Regions from separate parts of the Mus musculus genome. Here regions 1 and 3 are each reported to be linked to region 2. Evidence: microRNA targets listed by miRTarBase, many of them from high-throughput screens and not tested one by one. Region 2 holds a microRNA gene; each other region holds the end of a gene's coding sequence.

What was found. Region 2 holds the annotated microRNA mmu-miR-5113 (ACAGAGGAGGAGAGAGAUCCUGU, at 2,571-2,593, opposite strand). A microRNA usually pairs through its seed, bases 2 to 8, with sites in the 3' UTR of a target mRNA and lowers its output. Matches are read on the target gene's strand: a 7mer-m8 pairs with bases 2 to 8, a 7mer-A1 pairs with bases 2 to 7 and ends in A, and an 8mer does both.
Region 1: the mRNA of Ctbp2 is a reported target of mmu-miR-5113. Seed matches in the 3' UTR shown: 7mer-A1 at 2,909-2,915.
Region 3: miRTarBase lists Hinfp as a target of mmu-miR-5113. Seed matches in the 3' UTR shown: 7mer-A1 at 753-759.

The regions. Positions count from the first base shown.
Region 1 is chr7:132,984,716-132,988,956 of GRCm38, forward strand. Ctbp2 (C-terminal binding protein 2) reads right to left here. Exons shown (of 9, transcript NM_001170744.1): 9 at 2,296-3,636. The coding sequence ends at 3,456. It overlaps Zranb1 (zinc finger, RAN-binding domain containing 1), which reads left to right. Exons shown (of 10, transcript NM_207302.3): 10 at 1-1,676. Among named protein-coding and RNA genes, the nearest start is that of 4932437C15Rik, 15 kb to the right of the region's middle.
Region 2 is chr15:80,938,401-80,942,641 of GRCm38, reverse strand. Mir5113 (microRNA 5113) reads right to left here and starts at 2,603; the gene lies at 2,522-2,603. Tnrc6b (trinucleotide repeat containing 6b) reads right to left here. Exons shown (of 25, transcript NM_144812.3): 25 at 1,556-4,241.
Region 3 is chr9:44,292,559-44,296,799 of GRCm38, reverse strand. It overlaps Hinfp (histone H4 transcription factor), which reads left to right. Exons shown (of 10, transcript NM_172162.3): 10 at 220-1,127. The coding sequence ends at 604. Among named protein-coding and RNA genes, the nearest start is that of Abcg4, 6.4 kb to the right of the region's middle.

The sequences.
Region 1 (4,241 bases), not on the chromosome of region 2:
CTTTCATTATTTAGGTATTTGTTTGGAAGAGTGCCCTGTAAAGGGGGTTCTTACTCGACTCTGGGCGGTGCATTTGTGCACTTCTACCCTGGATGGATGGATGGATGGAAAGGGAGCAGGCTCACTCATCCCTGGGTGGGTTATGTGACAGTTACTTGGACTCAACCTGTTCTGTTCCCAGGCGGCCATGCAGACAGTCTTCAGCTACTTCCTGTCTTTGTCACCTCTGCTCTAAGCAGACCCTGTATTAGGGGCAGGCCTTTGGTTAGGCTGATTGGGAATACAGTTCAGTACAGAATAAAGATTTTTAAAATGCAGTAAGGTGGTCAATGCATTGTATGATCAGTTTCTGTGTAGTCTGAGAATTTTTGCATGTTGGTTAGTTGTAGCATTATTTAAAGTTAAAACCATACTTTTTAGAAAAAAAATTTATGGAGAGTGTTAATTGACCACTTCAGGTATATGTTAGTACTGGGTAAACATTTCTGACCTCCTCAGGCACACAACATGTAGTGTCCTGATAAGCACTTAGACTGATGTGGCAAGCAGTTGCAAAGTAGCAAATACACACATTTCCTCTTCTCCTCCCCTTTAATGAAAAGGCTGTGAAACCTTTAAATCTTGTTTTTCTGATGAGATGGTATTGAAGTGTATACAACTTTTAAGTTTGCTGGAATACTAAAAAGAAAAAACTTATGAGCTGTTATGTCTTTAGTTCTCTCTCTTGTGAACACTTAATAAAAAGGTGTTCTCAGGATGAAAGATCATTTATGCTGCATGCTAAAACCAGAAAGTAATTTTCACAGTAGGTGACTCCATATAAATGAATTGTGGTAACAATACTGGTAAATGTTACTGTTCCAGTAGTTAGTGTTTTTCTACAAATTGACTATTTCGTTTTCATTTTGATCAGTGAATGATAACCAAGTCAATAGAAGGCTGTCATTCTAAGTACTTAGCATCCATAGCATCTAGAATAGCTGATCTCCATGTGTAGAGTTGATTTTTCAGGAGGCAGAGATCCAGTTAAGCAAAACCTTCCTCCCAAATAAGCCACAGAGAGCTGAGAGGGTAACACTGGTCTCTAGGTGCATCTGTGTTGTACCCAAACCTTGTGGTACAGAGTCAGGCTCAGGATTGAGCCTTGTTCTGCATATTGTCAATTCTTGAGTGTCCTTTCCTGAGTTCCCTCTGTATTTATATTATTTATTTATTTATTTATGACCAGTGACCCTGACCACACATAATTTGATAGGTACCCATTCTTCCCTGTGGGAAAGAATTAAAGAAGGCTCCATTTCTTGGACTCTTAAGATAGGAATGGGGCTTTCATTAGTTTCTCTAGCAGACTGCTGGCTGTGAAATGGCCAACCCCTTTGGGAAATCAGCGCTATGTTAAGCTCTTGAACTAAACCAACAGCCATAATTATTGTCCCAAGAAAGTGTAATGCCGTCCTTTGTAAAAGATGATACATGGCTGGGTGGCAGGTATAGGGATTTTCAGATGGACTGGACAGTAATACTTTTATAACTACGTGGACTTTATGGTTCTTTTTCTAGGGTGAAACCAGTACTTTGTTTTTATCCTGATGTTGTCGTTCTTTGGAGTCAGTTTATAATCATTTCTAAAGGACTGTTTGAGCAACCACAATCTAATTAAACAAAACCTAGGCACACCATGGATTCAGATCTGACTTTCTGTTTCTCACTGTTAGGTTTACTACACTAGCCATAACAAATGTTAAGTACTGCTGTGTAGATGGTTGGGGCCTCTTTTTCCACAGTCACTGACAAGATCTGTAATACGGAAGGTACTCCACGTGAGCTCATTTTATAGCGCAGTTAAGGTAGAGCACCCTCCTAAAAAGAAGGCAGCCAGACAGGCTTACATTGTAAGACACTTCATTCTCTCAGGAACAGGAACCTTGGAATTGTGAGCATTGAGTGCTACTTCAGAAGGTAAGTACAAGTGGAAGTTTTCAGTCACTTTATAAATATTAGGTTACCCTCCCTCCCCCAAACAAAGAGTTCACATCTACATTTGGGCATATTAAAATCAAAACTCTAAAAATTAACCAGTTTTGTTTCTGGAATTGACTTCACTCCAAAGCACTGCCTCATCTTTAGGATAGCCTACCTAATTTGGACTTCTGTGAGATAAGACACTGTCACCACAAGAGTTCGAAACTGACTGACAGTGTCAAGGGCTAGCTTTTACATAGGCGAGATGTAAATGTACATCTCAAGGGCTAGCTTTTACAGAGGTGAGATGTACTTAAATGTCAGGACTTAAAAGAAATTTTAATTACTTTATTGAAAACTGCACTGAATGCTAAAATGTCCACCTTTACAATAAACAAATACAGTAACGATAACTCACACTAAAACAAAACATTTCTGATAGCCATTATTTTTCTGTTTGGGACAGTTTAAAGTTTTTTTTTTCTTTTGTGTCACAAAAACAGGAATGTACCTATACAAAGGCTCAAAATAGGCCATCTTTAAAAACAAAAAGGCAATGATTCACAAAAGACTATGAATAGAACATGTAACTAGCTGATACAAATCTAATAGGATTTGTTAAAATCAGTCACATCTAATAGCACATCTGAAGTGTTCTTGTATAAAATATCACGTGAAGAAAAGAATTTATCAATGTCTAAAAAAGTGGGTTTGTTCATAGACAATCTGACAAGTTACCATAAAAAGTGTTTCCTGAGACATAAGGAAATGCAACATTATTCTTCTTGAACCCTTCTCGTCCAAGACTTTCCACTCAATAAAATAGCTGAGGATCTGAAACTGAGAAAATAGATTTGAGTACAAACAGCTTGTGAAACTTAATACTTTTTTCTTTTGTTCTTTTCCTTTTTTTTTTTTGTTTTTTTGTTTTTTTTTTTTTTTTGTATCAGAGGGTTTTACTGAACCGACTCTGCTGCTCAGATGTGAAACCTTCTGTATAGGAGCTTTTACTTCTTCAATCCTGTGCGTGGAGATGTCTACACAGGCAAACAATGTCCTCCCCATCTTGGCTTAATTTTAATCTTCCTATCAGCAGAGGCACCAGCCCCTGGAGACCAAAGGGACTAGTCTTGATGGGGATTTCCTCTCAACTTTTTATTGATATTCGGAGCTCTTGATGCAACATTCTAGAGCAAGCTCTGCAGGACCTGCTGTGCCCAGGGGATTGATAAAGGAAAAGCTCTATTTATTCTTTGTGATTTGATGCACAGATGAAAAACTTAACACACAATAACAGAAGTTGGTCGTTAATAATCACGTCCTAGTCTTCCCACACCTCTGGAAGCAGATACCATCTTCAGTTTTCTAGCTTTTGTAGCTTTAACACTGCAGTATCAGTGATGTCCAGGATCAGTTTAAAAGACCATCAAATTCATCCGTTTTCTACTGTCTCTTGGTCCCAAGTTTATCGGATTAGCTTCAGGCATTCTCTGCTATTGCTCGTTGGGGTGCTCTCGATTGTCCCCGTGTTTTGTGGGCTGGTTGGGGGAAGGAGCTTGGGAGGGGTGTGCCACTGTGGGGAGGTTGTGAGTCACGGGGATGCCCCCAGGGATGATCCCTTCCATCGCTGGAGGAAGCCCTCCTGGAGCCACACCTACAATGCCGGGTGGATACCTAAGGAACACAGAAAAAAGGTCTTAAGTTCAGGCCAGTACACAAAGGTTTGTTATCCTTAACCCAAAGTACCAGTTAAGATCAAGGTTTCCTTTGGAAAATAGCCAGTCAGGTAAAGTGACTTTGTGATGACCCTGTTTATTTCACAAAGTACTTAAAGTGGCTACTAAGCTCGTTTCCTTCCTAAATTTTCATGTTCAAATCTTAATCTCTAATATACTGAGAAGATGGAAGTTTGGGGTAAATGGGGACAGTGGGGCATATTTATGTCTTGGCCTGAATTTTCCCTTCCAGAAATGAGGAATGGCCTCGTAAGTCACTCCTGAGATGGCTGAAACCTCTAGGATAGCTAGTTAGTCCTATGTTCCCAGGAGAGGATGGCTGTGCCTTTCTCTGTATGTGGAGACATTCATTAGGCACTATGCATGAGCTGCCTACAGAGCATATGGTTCTTACAATGTGAGTCAACGTATTTAGTTACCAAACCCTTTGTAACTGAGGGTTATATCTCACTGTGGAAGCCAGGACCTCTCAGCACCATTCATTTTAAGAGTCTCCTGCCAGGCGGTGGTGGCTCATGACTTTAATCCCAGCACTTGGGTGGC
Region 2 (4,241 bases):
GGGTTCCTCAAACATACTATATAGGCATGAAAGACCACACACCACTCATTTTCCTGTCTCCATTTCCTGAAAGCTGAGTTTTTTTTTTTTTTTTTTTTTTAGATATTTTCCTCGTTTACATTTTCAATGCTATCCCAAAGGTCCCCCATACCCACCCCCCAACCCCCTACCCACCCACTGCCCCTTTTTGGCCCTGGCGTTCCCCTGTACTGGGGCATATAAAGTTTGCAAGTCCAATGGGCCTCTCTTTGCAGTGATGACCGACTAGGCCATCTTTTGATACATATGCAGCTAATGACAAGAGCTCCCGGGTACTGGTTAGTTCATATTGTTGTTCCACCTATAGGGTTGCAGTTCCCTTTAGCTCCTTGGGTAATTTCTCTAGCTCCTCCATTAGGGGCCGTGTGACCCATCCAATAGCTGACTGTGATCATCCACTTCTGTGTTTGCTAGGCCCGAAAGCTGAGGTTTTAACCTGCACCTCCAACCCTACTAGCTGAAATTTAAAGCCTTTGGTAATGAAGGTCTCATATTGAAGGTTTCTGTTGTTTTGCCAACCTCCATTTCTGAAGCCAAAACCTAAATAAGACATGGGCTTAGGATAGGCAGATCCACCCCACATTTCCCAGTGTTTATATACACTTTCATTTTTGAAATACTGATCAGAGACAGGATCTCAATCACTGGGCTCTACCCACAGGTTGTGTTTTTTCTGAGTTCCAGGCTGGCTTTGAGCTTTCAGTCTTGAGATTAAGGCAGGAACCACAACACCTGGCCAGTGTTTACAATCTTTATGAAGAAAGAACTGGATGACACACAAAAGGATTCCAGCTGTTTATCAACACAGGTATTTCGGAGTAGCTTTTGTGGTGCTGGGTTTTAAGTACATGTGCCAAACATGTACTTTACCACTGAGTGAGTAATTGCTGGCCTGATTTCTGACCATCGCCTGGGTTGCTAGGCTGATTCAGCCAGTGGCAGAGGTGAGTGTGAGTTACACGGGTGCATATACATGGCATGCTCATAACGGTGTACAGCTGGCAGTGGGCATTGGACAATGCTACCACCTACTGTCACCTAGACTATGCCAAGCATAACTTTTCTAAAGAGTTTCCTGCTGCCTGGCTGAAAAAGCACAACCTCCTTTCGAGCAGCTGATGGCAGCAGAGGCGTCTTCTCTCCTCTACCTCGGTGCCCGGCAAACACAAACTCGGGCTTCCCAAGACACGAGGCAATAGCAAAAGGTCACCCTCAGTTTCTTTTGGAAAGTTTGAACCCTGCACCACGGCAGGTGGTTTTCAGCTCTGAGACATGCAGCAATTAGTGGAAACAGAATGAGGTTCAAACCCAACTGCAGAATTTCTGACATGCTTTTGTGAGGACCAAAAGGGGATGGGAGGGAAGATTCATGGAAGAGAGAAGAAAGAGAAAGGAAGAAAGGAAAGAAGGAAAGAAGGAAGGGAGGAAGGGAGGGAGGGAGGGAGGGAGACTCAAAAGAAGCCAGCAGGTCAAACATTTCAACTATGAGACTAAAACCAGAAATGACAACAGTAAATGCTTAGCAGCCAAACACATTTATTAGTCTTTTTTCTTTTTTTTCCAGGAACTCAAAAATATTTTGTAGTTATAATGTAAGCAACTGAGTTGCACATAATACAATCATATCTTTCCAAAATAAAATAAAATAAAAACTAAAAAAAAAAACAAAATAAGCTGTTTAAAAGCCCAAAAAACCCTTCAGAAAACTCTTATATATGCATTACATCATCTCTCAGTTTTAATGAAATGACTACGACTTTAATCCTTACCAATCAACCTGTCACAATCTGAGAAAACACCACCCTTCAGTTTTGTTTGTTTTTGATATATATATATATATATATATAATTTTTTTTTGAAATCCAGCATGAGAAATACAGTACCTGCTATGGCAAAAATACACATAAAATGCAACTTTTCAGCTTATTTGTACATTAGTAGAGTTTAACATTTGTTTTTTAAGTGAACCAGTGATTTTAAGTACCACTATACTAAAAAAGTAAAATAAAATATAGAAAGGGGGTCGGCCTGCCGTGCAAGTGAACCACCAAAGTGCCTAGTTTCTGTGTCCATGTTAAACCAGTAAGATGAACAATGTTACCCTATGGGAGTCTGACTGAACCTCTATGTTAAAACGACAATGCCACAGCCTTCCTTTTCTCCCCTCAAACAGCCTTAACATTTGTCATCTGCAGTTTCAATTGCCCAACAGAAGAGAGAAAAGAAAGCCACCAACATAATATTGTAAAAGTGTTTTCAAGTATAAGAAAACAAAACACTTATAGGTAACTCGCAGAGCGCATCAACGTGGGCAGCAGTTTAGTCCTTTTGATTTGACAGGTTGTTTCTGCCGAGTGTTTCGGATGAGAGGATTTTCATGGTACCTTCCATTTGTGTGCAAAGTTGGAAAGCTGCCTCTTAAAAACTTCAGCCTCTTTCTGGTGTCTTTCTCTGAACCTTTTGATTAAAGGGGCAAAGAGGGCCAGGGAGAGCAGAGAGGAGGGAGTGACCCTGGTGTTGCAGTGAGTTAAACAGGATCTCTCTCCTCCTCTGTCCCATCCCTAGGTCTTTAAACCTCTGGTTCAGCCTCAGTGATTTCTTACTGAAGGGTCTCTCACTACTCACTGTTTCCTGATTTGGTAGAATTAGTTTCACTATGTAAACATAGCCCCCTAGGATTATGGAACCCAAAGCAGCATTTGTATCTCCATCGAAAGGGAGAAAGATAAAACAGTCCAGAGACCTCTCCTTAGGTTGCTTTCTGTTGTTGGTTTTGGTTACGCAAAACAGGGCTGGGCTGGGCTGGATGCAGAATGAGTTGCAAGCAGATAGTGGGGAGCGGTTGGATCTGCTTGATTTTCCCTCCCAGAAAAGGTTATTTTTAAACCTGTTAAAAATGTTCCTGCACCTTAAGTCGTGCTGAAGTTAAGGCCAAGGGTGCAGATCTTGTGCACATCTGTGAGCACACTAGAGGTGCGTGCACCATTTGATGTCATGTGTTGAGACCACTGCATACACTTTGGTCACTGGTGTGTGCAAAGGGTGTAGTAGGGGAATGCCCCAAGAAAGAGGTGCAGACATCAGCAAAGCCCTTTGGGAACATCAGAGAGGGAAACAAGGGCAGGCAGAACCCCGTCGATAGGAGAAAGCACACTGATAAGCAAGGACCTCCAGACAAACTACAGAAGTCAAATCCAAGGGAACAGTGCCACGCAGAAGATAGGCAAGGGATGTCCATCACTTTCAACCAGATTCCTCCCTCAAAGGAAGTCGTCATTAAACAGATCAAGGAAAGCACTCTTGACTATAGCTTCTTAACAGATATAGATTTGAGTTAAAATGAGATAAAATGAATCTTCTACTCTTGTTCAAGGGAGCCCACGGTCTAGGAGGGCAGCGGCTGTCAGCACCCTCACAGGCAGCATGTGCCAACAAGGATTTTTAAGGATGTCAGCTCTAAGCTCAATTTCCTTCTAAGTAAGAAATACATTTCCAGAACATTGCTAAAAAGGCTACGGGACAGACTAAAAAATCAGGGACTAAACTCCACTGGGGATTAAAGGACCACACTTAAAGAGCAAGAAGTGCATACATGTAAACACACACACACACACACACACACACACACACACACACACACACACGGCAAAGAACTTCTTGAAGTCCCTGGAGGGTATGGATCATATATGGAAGAGAGAAATTCAGATATTGCCCACCCTGGGGCCTTGGTGGTGGAAGAGATGGCATTTAGTTAGGGCAGGGTGTGGTCACTGGTCTGCTGCCCTGTGCTGTGGCGGGGGAGGGACACCAGGAGAGAATAGGCAAACCACAAACCCAAAGCCATCCCACCCGTCTGCTTTGCTTTTTCTTCATCAACAAGAATTCAGATCTGAAACTTCTGACGGCTTAACATGCAAATATCATATTTTAGGGTTATTTTCACAGCAAAGAAAATGTTTCAAAGACTTATCTGGTTATTTACACATCCTTATTGTATAAAGAATAGCTCACTGATGTCAAGAAAGGAGGAGTGAAGGGTTTACATTGCAGGGGAGATATACCTTGAGGTATCATTTTGTGTCAGACACTTGAAACATCAGGATTTTCTTGTTGTTTTGCTTTTGTTTAAAGGCAATCGAACAGATTGGAACCCTGATACAATCATGCCTGTGCAGCCCTGCACAGACACAAGGAGACTGTGA
Region 3 (4,241 bases), not on the chromosome of region 2:
AAAAAAAAAAAAGAGCAGTCAAGTGCTCTTAACCACTGAGCCATCTCTCCAGCCTGCCTCTGAACCTTGATGCTACAGATTCCATTAAAAGCCTTTTCTTAATCTTTAGTTCTATCACATAGAATCCTAAGATTTCTTCCAGATGGCATATTTGTATCTTCACCCTCTGATTCTAGGCAATTTTTCCATCCTCTGCTGATGTACTGCCTTCTCCTCCAGGTACAAGGAACATGAAGATGGCTACATGCGACTGCAGCTAGTTCGGTATGAGAGTGTGGAGCTGACACAGCAGTTGCTGCAGCAGTTACAAGAAGGATCAGATCCGGGATTGGCACTGAATGAGAGCAGCCTGCAGGGCATTGTTCTGGAAACAGTGCTAGGGGGGCCAGGACCTGAGGAAGAGACAGAAGAGGAAGGTAGGGTTGTTGAGGGAACAGCTCTCTCAGCTTCTCAGGACAACCCCAGCTCAGCCATTCATATGGTCAGTCAGACAGACACCCAAGGCCAGCGAGACATTGTCTACTGTGTACTGTCTGAAGGCCCAGGAGAGCCCCCGCCAGTCTCCGAAACCCTCAAGAGAGATGGAAAAGCTCGAGGAACCTGAGGAGCCGGGGTCCAGGTGGGCTGAGGCTGCAGAGTCTGGCCGGTCCTGCTCCACATCTTGAAGTTTGAGCTGGGCAGGAAGCGGTGCCCCAGGGGTCAGCCTTTGTTCTTGGATGCCTTTAGAAGTGGTGCTGAGAACAGTGTGTTCCCCTCTGACTCAGAAGGCATCATTCTATAGACTCTGGGGAGTTGGATTCATTGAGGAAATCCTACATGTATGTTCTTATTAGAGGAGCTGTTACCAGGTTTAAGTGTACTCCCTTGGCATGCTAGACAGTAAGTATTTAGTCTACATCCATTCCAATTTCCAGGGATCCATCGATCCATTGACCCAGGGATGAGGGACTGTTCTTTCCAAGGGCTGTTTCCTCACTGTTAGTTACGCATTGAGAACCAGGTGCCATTTCTCTCAAGGTTTCCTTTTACATTCCAGGGACACTTGTTATCTTCAGGGACACGATTATAGATACTGTGTATGTGTGGCAGTTGTCTTTTGGGGAATAAAAGAAACACTTGGGCTGTTACTTATTTCTTAAGTTTGATGGCAGTTAGCCAAGTAACAGATACAGCTGCTTAGAAGTAGAGCTGAATAATTAGACTTCTCCCTTTAGTGCTCAGGACGGTTCCTTTAACTGTGGTGTACCCATTTAGAGGAGGAGTCCACTTCCTCCAGAGCATCTTCCACTTCTGTGGAAGGAAGCTCCATGGACTTCACCATGAATGAGTGCTAGCAGTGTTACAAGGTTAATACAAATGGCTCCTGGACAGTACCCTCCGTTCTAATTAGAACCCTGTGCCTCTGTGGTAGGTTGGGGTGTGGGACTGCAAAGGAAACAGAAATGGAGGTAGGTCAGGAAGTGACCCTAGAGAATGCCAAATACTCAAGGGCCAGGAATCAAGCTAGAAAATCTATACAGTTTCCTACAGAGTGGATCTATTTTGATAAGCTTATGTCACATATATGATCATGTGTGTGTGTGTGTGTGTTTTGCCTTTATGTATGTAAGTATATCATAGTCAAGCAGTGTCCATGCAGGTAAAAAGGGTGACCAATCCTCTGGAACTGAAGTTAAAGACAGGTGGGTGCTGGAAACTGAATGTGGTTCTCTGCAAGAGCAACAAGTGCTCTCGCCTGCTTAGCCATCTCTCCAGCCTCTTTTGTTGTATTCTTGAAGTTGAAATTCCTCAAAAGAATTAACTCTTTTTTTTTCTTTATTTTTAAAGATTTTATTTATTTTGTTTATGAGTATACTGTCACTGTTCTCAGACACAAAGAGGACATCAGATTCCCATTGCTGTGGTTGTGAGCCACCATGTGGTTGCTGGGAATTGAACTGAGGACCTCTGGAAGAACAGTTAGTGCTCTTAACCACTGAGCCATCTCTCCAGCCCCCACCCCACCCTTTTTTTTCCCCAATTGAAAAACATTAGACATAGTGGCACTTACCTTTAATCCTGACACTTAAGGAGACAGAGGCGGGCATTGGAGGTTAAGGCCAGTCTGGTCTACAGAGTGAGTTCTAGAATAGCCAGGGCTACATGGAGAAATCCTGTCTCAAAAAAACTTAAAAAAAAAAAGTGTAGTATATGTGTGAGTGTCTGTCCCTGGGTACATGGTATGTGCACTCTCACCTGTTTTCTCGACTAACCAGTGAGCTCTGGGGATTTGCCTTTCTCTGCCCCTGATACCATGCTGGGTAGAGCTTTTACCTAAGTGTTGGGTGTCTGGGCTCAGATCCTTGTGTTTGTAGAGCAAGCACTTACTGACCGAGCCATCCCCATGCATATTGCCCTTTTGTTGGCTCTCTTAGTCCGTGTAAAGGGAGTATTCTTGGGGACCTTAGATCCTTAGATAGCTGCATAGAAGGATTTCTGAACTTTAGCATCTTCAGGACGAAGCCTTCCTAAACTGTCCAGGAACTGTGTCTGCTTCACCACCACCAGCACCACCTGTGTGAGGCAGGATCTCCCTGAGCTCGTTTGACTTGGGTCTTCTGTCTTGTGCTTTGTAAACAAGGCCCTGGCTTTCCTTCCCAGCTTTGCTAAAAAGAAAACGAAAAGGAGCTAGATGGTGGTGGTGCACCCTTTTAATCCCAGCACTTAAAAGACATCCATGTAGATCTCTATGAGTTCAAGGATAGCCTGGTCTATTGAGAGAGTTCCAGGATAGCCAGGGCTACACAGAAATCCTGTCTTGGGGTGAGAGTAGGGGATGATGAGGACTGTTTTTTTTTCTTTTAAATTTTGCTTTGAGAGGCAGGCTTCAGATCTTTTGGTTCTCTTCTCTAACCCGCTTCCTGGCTGCTGGGATTACAAGTATGTACCACCATACTCAGCTCCTGATTTCTTACTGCAAAAACTGCCTATTACAGAAGTGTAGTGGTACACACCTAATACCAGCATTCAGGAGAGTCCAGCAGATCCCTTGAATTGGAGGCAAGTCTGGTCTATGTTCCAGGACATTCAGGGCTATGCAGAGAGAGCCTGTCTCAGAAATAGATGGCCTTTGTAAAGAAAAAACAAAAGGCTATATCAATTTCTATTGAGTCTTTGCTATAGCTTAGGCAGATTACGTGTAGAAGTTCGGGAAGACTGCAGGAAGAGGCTTCCTCCTAAGCAGTAACACAAAGAAGGCAGCCCTAGAAGGATTGCAGTGTTTGAAGGGTTTGGTGCGATGGGGATACCAGGGAACCCAGGAGTTGGGAACTAGTGTGGCTGCTTCTCAGAAGAGCACTCAAATATGAAATGAATGAATAAACTGCTCAGGACTGGAATAAATGAAGAGCATGGTCCTTTCATGTAGTGTAGCAGGAAGGGGTAAAGAAATCGTTTCTAGACCATGCTGGGAATTGAACTCAGGTCCTCTGGAGGCAAAACGGATGAGCCAAAGGGTGTTACAAGACTTCAAGTTCTACTGAGGGAAGGTAGATAAAGAAAGAGACTTTGGTTAAGACCAGCCCTATAGTATTTACCTAACAAAGGCATAAGTTCAGTTTCCAGTTGTGACAGTTAATTTGCCAACTTGACGTAATCTAGAGTCACCTGCAAAGAGAGTCTCATTGAGGGACTGTCTAGATCTCGCTGACCCATTGTGAGCATGTCTGTGTGGGATTATCTTGATTGTGTTGAGGTAAGAAGATCCACCCACTGTGGGTGGCACTATTTTCTGGGCAGGCAGATCCTTAGTGTAGAGACAGCTGAACACTGGCAGGCATGTGTGTATTTGTTCTCTGCTCTTGACTGTGATATGTGTCAAGTTCCTGACACCTTGACTCCCCAGTAGTCTGTAACTTTGGAATTACGAGCATAATAACCCTTTGTCCCTTAAAGTGCTTTTAGCAGGATATTTGTCACAGCAACAGAAAATGAAACTAATACACAGTAACATGTGTGGACTGGAGAGGTGACACAGTGGTTAAGAGCACTTGCTGTTCTTCCAGAGGATTCAGGTTCAGGTATGAGTACCCACAGGTAGCTCAAGGCCATCTATAACTCCCAGTTCCAGGAGATCTGATGCCCTCTGCTGGCCTCTGTGAGCATGAAACGTGCATGTGGTACACAGACATACATGCAGGCAAAACACTCATCCACATAAGTAATCCTAAAAGACAAAAAGGCTTTGGTAGAGAACTTGGCAT